Linked DNA regions of Tamandua tetradactyla. The protein of the gene in region 2 binds, or shares a complex with, the protein of the main gene of each other region. Links are inferred from orthologs where the notes say so. Each region holds a gene or a part of one and is shown on either strand. Other genes may lie near its edges.

The links. Proteins that work in one complex are often made in the same cells at the same time.
Region 1: RRS1 (region 2) and RPF2 share a complex: the UniProt entries of both Homo sapiens proteins name them as parts of the hexameric 5S RNP precursor complex. The link is inferred for Tamandua tetradactyla from reciprocal best matches to the Homo sapiens genes RRS1 and RPF2.

Annotation. Positions count from the first base shown.
Region 1 is NC_135331.1:169,708,563-169,716,189, forward strand, and holds the start of RPF2 (ribosome production factor 2 homolog), read left to right. Parts: upstream 1-4,600; 5' UTR 4,601-4,867; coding exon 4,868-4,890; intron 4,891-4,906; exon of another isoform or gene 4,907-5,074; intron 5,075-5,089; exon of another isoform or gene 5,090-5,354; intron 5,355-5,602; exon of another isoform or gene 5,603-5,682; intron 5,683-5,858; exon of another isoform or gene 5,859-6,491; intron 6,492-6,817; coding exon 6,818-6,950; intron 6,951-7,627. UniProt on the Homo sapiens protein: Involved in ribosomal large subunit assembly. May regulate the localization of the 5S RNP/5S ribonucleoprotein particle to the nucleolus.
Region 2 is NC_135332.1:109,969,398-109,975,685, reverse strand, and holds RRS1 (ribosome biogenesis regulatory protein homolog), read right to left. Parts: upstream 2,226-6,288; 5' UTR 2,099-2,225; coding exon 1,001-2,098; 3' UTR 519-1,000; downstream 1-518. UniProt on the Homo sapiens protein: Involved in ribosomal large subunit assembly. May regulate the localization of the 5S RNP/5S ribonucleoprotein particle to the nucleolus.

The sequences.
Region 1 (7,627 bases), on a different chromosome or scaffold from region 2:
GAGGCCTACTCTTATATTCTCATGTTTTCTATTTAACATTATATTGAAGGTTCTAGCTAAAGCAGTTAGGCAAGAAGAAAAAAAAGGAATACAAATTGGAAAGGAAAAAATAAAACTCTATTTGCAGAGGACAGGATCCTAAGGAATACAGACATACATTAAAAATACTATAAAAGCAAATAAATTAGACTCCTAGTCACATGTTTAAACACTAGGAATCCTTTCCAACATGGCCTTGGACAACTACCCAGACAAGTGATACTTACACATTGAAGGCGCAGTCACACCAAATTCACAGTGGATCTGTTGAAAATCCTCATTGGCATATTCAACCAAAAACCTTACCCAGATTATGCCATCAAACAAAAATATCTTTAGAAATTAACACTGAAGAGTCTAGAATCCAGATTTGGTTTCATATTTGGAGAGCTAGACATTTATTCCAGGGAAGAACAGAGCCTGATCAGGCCTTAGAATCAAGCTAAAACCACAGGCAAGATAACCCAGCAACAATTCAAGATATAAAAGCCAGATGGTGCCATATTTCCTATACTTCTTCCCAATTGTGTACTCTCATCAGGGTATGTAAGACAACCCTTATCATGGAACTGATTACAGAGAAAGATTTGCAAAAGAAATTGGGGTTCCAGAGTCAAGAGCCTAAATTTGGTTTCAAAACTGAAGATCTAGATTTCATGTCCAGAGAAAATATAACCTGATGAGATCTCAGAACAAAGACAAGGCCAGGGACAAAATCTCTGAGATGAGAAAGTTCAAAGTATAGAAGCAACGTAAAGTATCACCAACCTCACTAGCAACCATTTTATTTCTCTAGAACCAGAATGAGGGCACAGAAACAAGTTCAGTGTATCTGATATCATCACCTTGGGTCCCAAATCTCTCTCACTCTTCCTGGGAATGCACCCTTCCTCTGAGAGTGCAAGTTGGACATTCTGGAAATGGTAAGCAAGACTTCCGGAGGCGACACTGGTCTAAGAGACGCTCCACAACGCTACTGAACAAGCCTGGCTCTAGAATTCAGCAGAGCTTGAAGACAGTGAAAAAAAATTAATAGATATAATCCACTATCTGTCTCTATGAAATTTGCTTATATAGGTATTTCATATAAGTGAGATCATACAGTTATTAAAAAGCTAATAAACCAGTTCAGCAAGGTTGCAGGATACAAGATCAATAAATAAATATAAATTATATTTCCATATAGTAGCAATGAACAAATTGGATAACAGTTCCATTTGGATAACAATTCCATTTACATTAGCACCAAAAAAGAATAAAATACTTAGAAATAAATTTCACAAGAATGCAAGAATTATGCACTGATGCCACAAAACATCACTGAAAGAAATTAAAGAAGATTTAAATAAATGGAAAGCCATTCTTTGTTCATACTGACTTACTATCATTAAGATGGCACTACTACCCAAAGCAATTTTACAGATTCAATCCCTATCAAAATCCCTATTTTGTTGCAGATATTGAGACACTTAAACTAAAATTCACATGGAAACCCAAGAGATCCAAAACAGCCAAAACAATCTTGAAAAATAAGAATAAAGTTGAAGGACTCATATATCCTGATTTCAAAATTTTCTACAAAGCTACATTAATCAAGATGGTGTGGTATGGGCATAAGGATAACATATAGATCAATGGAATAGAATTGAGAGTCCAAAAATAAAACTTCATACTTACAGTCAATTGATATTTGACAAGGGTGCCAGAACAAATCAGTGAAGGAAAGAATAGTCTTTCTTTTTTTTGTGTGTGTGTATTTGTACATAAAGCAAATATCTTTGTTTTCCTTCTCTTATTCCCTTTACATGACAAAAGTTGTTCACGTTACAGTGGTTAAGTTATAGGATGTCAAATTTCAGAGGGAATTTTACTCAAGGTTGCACCCTATTCTGGAGAGATTTAGTATGTTTCTGGTTGTACACAGGACAATTGAGCATTGCGAGGTGGAAAATATGTCTTTTATTGTTTTCTATTTAAAGTATGGGTTAAGTTGATGTCTGTAGCTGCCAGGTTGACAAGGGGTGGACTGTGATGGTTAGGTTCATGTGTCAACTTGGCCAGGTGATGGTGCCCAGTTGTCTGGCCAAGCAAGCATTGGCCTAACCATTACTGTGAGGGCATTTTTTGGACTTAAATCATCAGTCAGTTGATTGTATCTATGGCTGATTACATCTACTGTCAACTAAGGGGAGTGTCTTCCACAATGAGAGAAGTTTAATCCAATCAGTTGAAGGCTTTTAAGGGAGAGGTGATGACTTCAGTAGTCAGAAGAGAGAAATTTTGTTTCTACTTCAGCCAGCCAGCCTCTCCTGGAGAATTCATTGCAAACCTTCATCAGAGTGCCAGTTTGCAGCCTGCCCTATGGACTTCGGACTTGTGCATCCCCATAGTTGGGTGAGACACTTTTATAAAATATCATACTATTTATGTATATCTCCTGTTGGTTCTGTTTCCCTAGAGAACCCTGACTAAAACATGGCAATATGGTAACTAGAAGCCACATGCAAAAGAATGAAATCCAAAATGCATCAGACCTAAATGTAAGTGATAAAACTAAGAAATTCTTAGAATAAAAGATAATAATCTTTGTGACCTTGGTTTACGGAATGATTTCTTAGATATGACATCAAAGCACAAGCAATAAAAGAAATGATGGCTAAATTGGGCTTGATCAGAATTGAAAACTTTTGTGCTCAAAGCATACTATCAAAATGAAATAACCCACAGAATGAGAAAAAACTATTTGCAAAGGGACTTGTATCTAGAATAAAGAACTATTAGAACTCAACAATAAGACAAATAACCAAATCTAAAAATTGGTGAAAATATGGTATGTGAATATATCTCAATAAGATATAAAAAAGAAATGGGTGAAGAATTTGAATTGTCATCTTTCCACAGAAGATACAGGTCAACCAGCCCACAAAAAGATGCTTAACATTATTTACTGTAAGAAAAATGCAGATGAAAACCATAATGAGATACCATTTCATATTCACTAGAATGGCTATAATAAAACGATGGATAATAATAAGTGTTATTGAGGATGTGGAGAAATTGGAACCTGTGACCAGACAGAATTCTTCCTCAAAAACTGTCCGTCTTAATCCTCAGAATCTGTGAATATGTTACTTTACAAAGCCAAAAGCACTCTGCATATCTGATTAAATTAAGAGTCTTGAGATAGGAATCTTTTCCTGGATTATTGAGTAAGACTCAGTATCATCACAAAGATCCTTTTAAGGTGAACATTACACCATGTATAGTCTGTATGTGTATAAAGATTTTTCAATAAAAATATTTTTTAAAAAAAGGAGTATTAGAAAACGGAAATGTGAGATTTGAATAACGTGTTTTAAGATGTAGAAAGAGACCATGAGCCAAGGAATGCGAGCAACTTTTCAAAAGCGGTAAAGGCAAGGAAATGGATTCCCACTGGAGACTCCAGGAGGAATGCAGCCTTTCTGACATGTTAATTTTAGACCCATAAGACTTAATTCAGATTTCTAACTTTCAGAGTTGTAAGAGAATACATTTGTTTTTTTTTTTTAAAGCCATTAAGTTTGCAGTAATTTATTACATCAGCATTAGGAAACTAACAAACCCTTTTATATTTCTGGTGGGAGTGTAAAATGGTACAAGTATAGCCACTTTGAAAATCTGTTTTGCTGTTCCTCAAAATGGTAAACATAGAATTACCATATGACTCAGCAGTTGTACCCCTGGAGAAATGAAAACATTTTGCATGCAAAAACTTGTACACAAGTGTTCAAAGCAGCACTATTAATAATAGCCAAAAAGTGGAAACAACCCAAATCTCCATCAGCTGATGGATAAATAAAATATGGCACATCATTTTATTTATTATTTATATTAATATAACAATAATTATATATTAATATATAAGATTTAGTAATTATAATCAATGATAATTAATAAACAATTATTTATTATTTCATAAACAAAATATGGAATATTACTTAGCCCTAATTAAAGACATGAAATATTGAACATGCTATAACATGTATGAAACTTGAAAATATGCTAAGTGAGAGAAGCAAACTCATATGGTCACACATTTTATGAATGTATTTATATTACATGTCTAGAATAGGCAAATCCATAGGAACAGCGCATAGATTGTTGGTTGCCACAGGCTGGCAGAAGGGGAAAATGGGAATGACTGCTACTGATATGGGGATTCGTTTTGGGGTGATGAAAATGTTCTGGAATTACATAGTGGTGAAGGTTGCACAGCTCAACGAATTTAGTAAAAACCAATGAGCTGCACATTTTTAAAGACTGAATTTTATGGCATATGAATTATATTTCAATTAAAAATTGGAAAAAATCACAATCAGTATTTTCTGATTACGTTCTTGTGCCAGCCACTATGGCAGTAACAGACTTCTGCCCTCACTTACCTCATAGTTTAATTAATAGTGGGCATTTCATGTTAAAAAATATATTTAATGACTAGATACTGTGTTAACAACCTTGCATTGGCATCCTAGGAGATTCCCTGAAGACTAATACCTGACCCCTGCATACCTGACACCAAATATACATACAGACTAGTACGTCAAACAGCTACAGGAGACGTTTCTTAGTATTACTTCGCACCTAGAATCCCCGGGAAAGAGAAATCAAAAACCGGTAACCAAGGCAACAATCAGGGGCCAACCGAAAACGACCACCAGTCTGTGTCCGACCCGCGCCCAGGCGGATCAAGGAAGTGGCGTCACGCACAATTTCCGGTTCCGCGCAAAGCCATAGCTCGTAGAACAGAGCGGTGCACGTGGGTTCGCCTTTTCGGGTTGCTGTGGTGATGGATGCTTTGGACCGAGTGATGTAAGTTCACTGGGGTCGCATCCTGGGAACGCTGGGGAGAGGGGATTTTGTGACGGGAAGGAATGTTATAGCTTTTGTCTCCTTCTTTTGATTACCGCTCTGCTTCCTCCCTCTGTTTGCCAGTCGGACCGCAGTGGGGGCCCATCAGCTTGGGTCTTCGGTGCCGGCGGCCGGGAAACAGTGTGTAAGCACACAAATGGGAGCCGCGGGAAGGAGGTGGGACGGAAGCGTTGCTTCCATCCCAACAAATTAAAGCTGTCTGGCTTCCGAAGAAGGGTGAAGGAGGTGGTACAGTAAAGGGTTAAGTGCACAGGCTTCGGATTCGTACAGTTCTGGGTTTCAGTCCCGGCGCGTCCGCTCAAACCTTTGCGACTTTGGTTGGACTCTCTAATCTAAGCCTCGGTTTCCTCTGTAAAAGTAGCCATCATCATATTCGTAGAGCTGTGAGAATTGGAGAAGAGAATGTGTGTAAAGTCTTTGTCACAGCACGTAGAACATACTCATTAACTTTTACTTTTCCTCTCAACCTTTAGTACTTCTCTGGGTTATACTTAAAAGAGTTGTTTGTTTTTGATTCGTTCAAAAACTATTTATTGTTCTCCTAAATCGTCCTGCGGTTATTTGCTATGGTTTTCTTCTTGGGATTTACCTGGGTTAAAATGTAATGAAAATGACAGTTTTCTTCTTTTAGTCATTAATTCAGGGATTTTCTGCACCTGCTTCATATTCCTTTAGGTGTTGGAACTACAAAGATGAGTAAGGACAATTCACAGCCTAATTGGAGGATGAACAGTTAGTAAAACTTCTAAAGTGCTATTTGCATTCATTGCTTGTTAACGAGAAGTAACAAACTATATGGAATATAAAGCATATAGCACTTTTGTTGCCATATAGACACACTAAGTATTTCTTGATTTGATTGTAATGCATCTTTATCGATAAATGAGAAGAAACTTTATGCTTGACATTTATCTGGGGGAAAGCTTTTTAAGTCTGTGTGGGAAACTAAAGTGTGTGTGTTTGTGTTCTATTTTTATTTTTCTTTCTGAAATGCCCATAGGACTGGGGGGAGGGGTTCTATTTATTTAAAAGGAGTAATTCTTTCAGTGAATGCAGAAAACCTGGAAAAGCAAGAAATGTACAAAATGTATCCCTCTTGCTGTCATATCTTAAAATCAGAATAATGGATTTGTTTCCCCTTCATAGTTTCCAAGGTGATTGGTCTAGATGAATTTTCAAATTTGGCATTTTGAAGATTGACCTACTTATAAGCTGTGTAACCTTGGGCAAGTTACCTTTTTGTCCTCAATTGCCTCCAGTAGTCCTTTTCTCTCTCATACGGTTGTGGGGAGGATTAGGCCTTAATACAGGGACTTTATTAAAATGTCATCATCATTATTCCCCTTTGGTGGCAATGTTTGACTTTCTCATGGCCTTAAACCAGGAATATAAACAGTCCGTCCTCTTGTGGCTTTGATTAATGGGCTACATTTGGTAACTGTTCATAGATATATTAGCAGTTTTTTGTGTAGTTCTTTCTGTTAGAGTACATGGTACAGTTTGATTGGTTCAAGAATGGAAAGATGAAAGAAAAAATAACGGTAATTACTCCAGTTCTTTATTTTTTTTTTTGGTTTTAAAAAAGGTTTAGATAAAAGGAGTAATAAAATAACTCTTGGAAATTCTAAATGAAGGCTTTCCTCTTTTAGCTAAAAGTTAATAAAATAAACATATTTAACTAATAACTGAATATTTTACTAGTATCTCCTAAAAGGTGAGATTTTGTTTAATGTTGGAAACCTAACTGGAAAATATGCTAATGTGATTTCTCAGTTGATTTAAAATAATTTGCGTATCAGTCAAGTCATAGTTTTGAAATATAAGGAAAATGTTTTAAGTTGTTTTGAATTGTGATTTTTCTGAACAGAAAGCCCAAAACAAAAAGGGCCAAGAGATTCCTTGAGAAGAGAGAACCAAAACTCAGTGAAAATGTTAAAAATGCCATGCTGATTAAAGGAGGAAATGCAAATGCAATAGTGACACAAGTACTTAGAGATGTGGTACGTATATGTACTTATTTTTTAAATGGCATAGAAATCATCTTAGGAAATTTTAGCATATTAGCTTAACCTGCTGGAGAATCACCTGTATAAGTTTGCCTGGCCTTAAGAACTATAAACCTTAGAGTAGAGCTAAACTAGAGATTACTTGCCTTGTCATGGCACTGACTACTGGTTTTCCTTAAAATAACTAGTTTCTTGGTAAGTTTCAACTGTTTTAAATTATTAGAATTTGGTTTATTTACACTTTAGAAACATAACTAATTTGTAAAGCAAAATAACTACATATTAATGTATGTTCATTCATCTACACCAATGATTCGTTCTAGGTGCTGGGAATTAATAGATGAGACACATTCCCTCCCTTCAGTGAGCTTAGTGTAGGAGACAAAAAAGTACAGAATTATAGCATTGGGATTGAGTGGTGTGCTGGAGGCTTGCATGGGATAGGATGGGAGGCAGTAATATCACATTGTGGTATCAGGTTCTCAGAGATGACACTTGAGGCTTCATTTTGAAAAAGTTGGAGCAAGAAGTGATGGAGAAGAGAAAGACTTCCAAAGCTAAGGGGTAAAAAAGGTTGTGCAAAAGAGAGTGTAAAAGAACATAATACATTTGGGGAAACTATAAATAATTGGGAATGGCTGAAGGACAGTGGGCTAGATACTAGTAGAAGT
Region 2 (6,288 bases):
TCAGGAGATATTTTTAACAGACGAGATTAGGAAGAGACTGATGGGCAGGAAAGAGCCCTAGGACAGCCATAAACATTTAACTTTTGAACAAAATCAGCTCAGGCTTTGATCCAGAAGATATTAACGGTCCAAGTAAGGATTTTGTGGGTCTCTTCCTTTCCAAAACAGATCTTACTGAGAGTCAAGTTTGGGGGGGGGGGGGTGAGGGAACATAAATGCTGAAACAAATTTAAATATTTTCTGCATCAATGAGAATTACCATGATTATTTAGTGAGACCCAAGTTTATCATTTACATCAAATTAACCCGTGTTGAAAAGCATGAAATGTACATTTGAAATAGCGTTATATTACATCTTCAAATATCATCTGATACCAAAAGTGAGTTTTTCTAACTAAAGTGGTTTCTCTGAAACCATGATAATTTAGCTGCTTTATATCTTTTAGAAAGTAAATAAAACACTCTGTACCTGGTATCCATGTCACTGGACTTCACTTAAGATTTCTACCAATAATTGCAAAGTTATAAGCACTTTTATTAAATAATCTTTTCAATAGTTAGCTGTAAGTACAGTTGTGAAAATGTAATCTTTCCTGTTCTCCCCTGCTTTGGTAAACACACAAATTTGTTACAAAAATAATGCAAAAATGTATAAATTAATTCATTGTGAGTCTCTGAAATATGACCAACTCTCCCTCACCCATATTCAAAGTCAAAAAGAAAAAAGGTGGCTATTTAAAAACAGAAACTCGTTCCTGGTTTCCATCAAGTTCTTCCCCTAATTTTTCATCTCCAGCTAAAAAGTCTCGGTTGTGGGAAAAACAATTTGTAGAGTCCAACACTTACTTTCTTGAGGTGAGGTCAGTCCTGTCCCTTCAACCCCAAGCTCGGTGAAGATAGTGGCCACCTTCTTCTATACCCCCTGCTCTATCTAGAATTTAACATTTAGTAATTTAGTATGTGTTTTCCGGTTTACAGAGCAAGTCCGAGGGTGCCTCTATTATTTCCTCCTCTTTCCTCCTTGGTGCTGCCCCCCTTTTCTCTTACCACCCAAGCCAGGCGGCCCGGAATGCATCTTGCCCCCCAAGCCCCCTTTCCTCTTCCCTCCCTGGCTGGGCGGGCCCCCTTTCCTCTTGCCCCCAGGACCCTGTCGGCCCCCCTTTCTCTTGCCCTTTTGGTTCATTTTTCTCCTTTTGGCGGCTTCCTCCTGGTCCTCCTCCCTCATTTGCTTATTGGTGGCCCTTGTTACGTCCAGCTGAGGCTTCTTGCTGTTCATGACTCGCAATAGCTCTAACTGGTTTTTCTTCTCGGCTGCAAAGTCCCCAAAGAGGGGTTGAAACTTTCTCTTCTTACCGGAGCCCCGGGGCGCCTTCTCCTTGGGTAGGCGCTCCTGGAAGCGCCCCACAGAGGCGGTTGAGACCTTGGCCACCTGCATGGCGCGACCCAGCTCCTCCTTGCTCTGATGTCCAGTAGGGTGCAAGCCGGCCGCGCTGGGCAGTTGCGTCTTGTGCGCGCGGGCCAGGTTACGCAGCCGATTCAGCTCGTTCTTGGCCACCCGTTCCTTTTTGGCCTGAATCCGCTTGGCGAACTGATCCTCCAAAGGGTCGGCACCGCCGGGCACCTCGATCAGCCACTCCTTGGTGTCGTCGCGGGCGCGCTGGTAACCCCAGCGACGCCGCCACTGGCCGCTCACCTCGTCCCACACCAGATTTGTCTTCTTCTTGGGGCGGATGCCCTTGAGGCGCGCGAACTGCTGCCAGCGTGTAAGCGGCCGCGGCCGGGGCACCGGCTTCTCGCGCGGCAGGCGGGTGGTAGGATCGGGCAGCCGTGCCACCACAGCTTCCTCCACGCGCTCCGTGGGCAGCTGCCACAGCTGGTTGATGAGCAGCTGAGTGTTGTCTCGCGCTAGGGCCCGTAGTTCGGCCTCCAGCGTGGGTCCCACGCGCCGCAGACACGTAGGAGGGTTCCGGTCGGAGGCCAGCAGGTTACCCAGATCGAACTCCAGCTCCAGTTCCTTGTGCACCGTGATGCGCTGCAGTTTCTCTGCCTCATCCCGTTCCGCCTTTGCCAGCAGCTCCTCCACGCTTTGACCGTCCATAGCTCGGGCTCGTTTAACGTGCTCAGAACTACAGTTCAAGTTACTTTTCCGGCAGTGTCAGTTCTAAGCCGGGTAACGAAGCCACGTGCTGACGCTCAGACCCTCGATCCGGAAGAGAATGATTCACTTCCGGAGCCTCCGGAACCGACTCTCTGTCTACATTACCTTTTCTCCATAGGCCGGCAGGGGGCGGTGTTGGAAAGCCTGTGGGTTTAGAAGCCCCCCCCCTACCTCGGGCGTGCACCCGGATGTAGGCGGAGCTAGCGCGAAGAGCCCAGACTACAAGTTCCAGGGCCTGATTGAGGTCGAGGTTCCCAGAATGCAGCGGGGCCAGGAGGCGGGGCAGTTCCAGGGACGAATTATTGGGGTCGCAGCTTTAGGGGGTTTCCGGAGCCCCTGTGTTTCAAATTCACTGTACATGCCTTGTGAAGTTGTTTAGTGAAGCATCCCTAGTTGGGCTACAGAAATGATTTCACCACGGCCCTAATGGTGGGACCTAATGTGTGGGCGGGGAAAGGCATGTCCCAGACAAACGTGAAGTTGAGTGCTGGAGAAGGATCTGTTTGGTTTGGGAGCGAGCGAGTGTTGGTGCTTCAGAGGCCTGAAATCATGATCTCTCTTGGTCCGGGGCAAGACGAGCGTCGGGCACTGCAATTAGATTACTTGTGCGCTTATCCCGACTGAGCCATCTAAGGACATTTTAATCTTAGGCAATTTAACTTTCCTGGGCCTGTTTAAAAATATACAAAATGTAGAAAATAATAGTACCTATGGCTTGGGGCTTTTGTAAAGATGAGGGCGTTAATATACCCCAAGGGGGAGTTAGAATAGGGCCTGGGACGAAAGAGTGCTCAGTAACTGTTAGTTAAATTAATACCAGTTACTCTATTATGTTCATAACAGCTCTTTCACTTTCATAACAGCTAAATTGAAGACACCAGGTTCTTGAGTCAGACTGCTTAAGTCAGATGTGGGTTTACCATTTACTGTACCTACCTTGCACAGGTTATTTAGAGGAGTCAAATAGGTTGATAAATAGGAAACAGTTCTGGTACTTAGTAAGCACTCATGTTAGCTCTTGTTGGTATTAATCATATGCCAGTGATGAAACTCAGGTGAAATGACTTGTGCGAGGTCATGTACCTACGAAATGTGGGGGCAAGAGGTGTCTTAACCCAGCGTTAAGACTGCGGTGTCTACCAGGCTCTTGATACTCTGGTCTGCTCATCAGCAGCATAGCTTCACCTGGGAGCTTTGAGAGGCAGACTCGCAGGCCTGCCCCAGATGTACAGAATCAGAACCTTCGGTTTAACAAGCTCTCCAGGTGATCAGTATGTACATTCACGTTTAGGAGGCATTGCTGATTGTGGGGTTTACAGGTTTTGTTTTCCTTGATCAGGGGATTGGAAATAATGAAGTAGGGGTTATGCTGGAAGATTAGGCAGTAGAAATTAATATAAAAAGTTTAAGAGATAGACCTATAGCCTGGGGCCATATCCTCTCCTGTCTTGGAACAAAAGAGCTCCAGGCTCTGCAGTTTGCCTGCACCCTAATTCTGATTGTGTACTCAAGTTAGTCTCAGGCTCACTATCTTCAGCTGTTCTTGGTTCACTGATTTACCAAACATTTATGGAGCACATTTCATGCACCAGACATTGTATTAGACCCTCCTTTCTTCCTCTAATCTAAAATAATTGTAGTAGTTGCTGGGGTTTTTCTGAACCTGTGCCTTAGTGCTCATCACTAAGTCTTTACTACCAGTCACCTTAGGAGGCCAAGGTTAGGCCAAAGGCCATATTAGATAACTGCCTTGAATCTAAAAGCTTTTGTGGTTTGCCAGAGAAGAAGGTTGGAATGTTGATACAACTCCTGGTGCTGGCTTGGTTTATGATTCATTCATTTAGTTAGCAAACATCTAACTGAACAGCTACCATGTAACAGACACTAGATACAAGGTGGGTTGAGACCTTCTGGAACACCAGGAAAGAACACAGGTAATGAGAATTTTACAAAATAGTGTGATTGAGCTTCCAATAGATTGTGCACCTATGTAGGTTTTAGCTCCTCCATCAATCTCCTGGATTAAGAAGGAGGTGGACAGGTATTGAATAGTGTGAATCCTCACTGGATAAATGTTATTTGGTTAGGATTATACAGATGAACACTTAATTGTTCTTTAATTGTTTTATGTTTATTGGTTTTTCACAGTCCGAGAGTATTTTAATTTCCTTGTTGGTTGGAGACTGATATTTACTTTCACTTTGCTGAACTTAGTACTGGATACATAATAGGTACTCAATACATGATTGCTTGAAAGAAAAAAACGTTACAGATTTCTCTAAATTAAAAAGGTATTCCTGTTGGCTGTGTTAGATTCAGGGTAAGCAAAAGTAGTGAAGAATGGGGTTTGAATGAAAAATAAAATAAAATTGAGCCAAGTGGGTAAGTGATGGACCCCAGGCATTTGTATCATTCTCATGTTAGGCAAGACTGTGCAGTGTCAAGAAAAAAGAAAGCCTGCCAGGTATGTGCAGGCATGTGGATATGTTTAAACAGTCTGGCAAATGGCTGTACATGCTGTCTTTTCTCTTTGTTTTCTTTTTCTTCTTTTGGCCCACAGATCCCAAATCTGGTCCTCAGATCTCACTTCTTTTCTCTTAATACCTGCTCTGTGTGCCATTTCATCCACTTGCATGATGTCAGCTGCTGCTTTTGTGCAGATGGTTCTCAGTAGTACAGATTTGATCCTTTCCGTCCACTCGGCTCTTCCACCATACTGTGTCTAAAACTAAATAATATATCATCTTCCCTCAAATTTATTTCTTCTTTCATTCCATTCATCCATCCATCCACCCACCCACTCTTTTTTCAACAAATGTTTGTTGAAGTTCCTTGAAGCCTGGAGCACTGTGTCAGGCGATGAGAAATCCGGTGTTAATAAAAACAGGCTCAACTGATGTTATCATCATTCCAGTCTAGTAACTGGGACTTGAAACTATAAAGTCATTCTTGACTTTTCTTTTTCCATTTCCAAATCCAATCATTCTAAAAGTCCAGCTGAATTTGTCTCTGTATTCCATCCCCCCCATCAGGATTGGACTGGATCTCTTCCTTTGTTTCTCCAGATCCTGTCTCTACTCTGTTCTGTACCCCTGACTTCCACTGGGTTTGGCCAGTGGGAAGCTTTGCAAAGCATCAGAGGATGTGAAGAGAGTGAGGTCAGGGTACAAATGCCCCCAGCCCTCTGCAGATTGCCTTGGGGTGGCTGGTGCCTCTAAAAGGTCACAGCTTTCTTTGGGCAGCCTTCTTGCCAGCCTAGGATTGCTTATATCTCTCTGCCCTTTAAGGATTACTCTTTGTGGGTCTCCTTAAACCTTGCGCCTGTCTTTATAAATATTTCCTTTGCTAGTATGTCTTAAATTACCCAGTTTGGTGGCAATTTATGACCCTGCCAGGAACCTGAGGAGTATCCCAGGAACACCCTAACAGGTTTCTTGTCTCCATTCTCTCTTCAGGTCAGTCCTTAAGATTTGTTCCACAGATCTGACCAAACCACCTTTCTCCTCCCTTGTCTAGCTAACACACAATGCTTGTTCTTGGACTTGGCAAGGCTGTTCATGATCAGACCCAACAACTCTTTGCTTGTGTGTCCTGATATTTTTCCTTATGCTTGTCCAAATATTTCTTCCCCAATTTTCTTTCCCATCTTACCTGTCTTTCCAGAGCATTAAGAAAGGTAAAAATGAGACACAGAATAAAAAAAGCAGCATTGTATTCTTGTAGCAACTATTGAGAAATTTTTCATTGACAAAAGTGAACCTGTGGGATGCTTCTTCCTCCCCAGGGACAAGAAGGTTCAAGATCGAGGGCAAGTAATTCCTTTCATGCTCCCTCAAAACACAGTTACTTTGGTCAGTAAAATTTTTGTATGAAATTTCTTTCTTCATTTTTTTGATACTGCATTATCTTAGATTTGCTTTCCAGTCGTTTCTCAGTTGCCTCTTTTTGGCAGCGGAAATTGTCAGGGGATTGACTCAACCATTCTTTAATTCTGCTGAGAACATAGTTATTTTGAGTATTTTTGTCTATGAAATTCATTGTGCCAGTAATTTGATAAAATAGCAAAAAAATGGCCCTTAAAGTACGTGCATTATTTCTACATGGTTCATTTTTACTAATTTATAATTTTG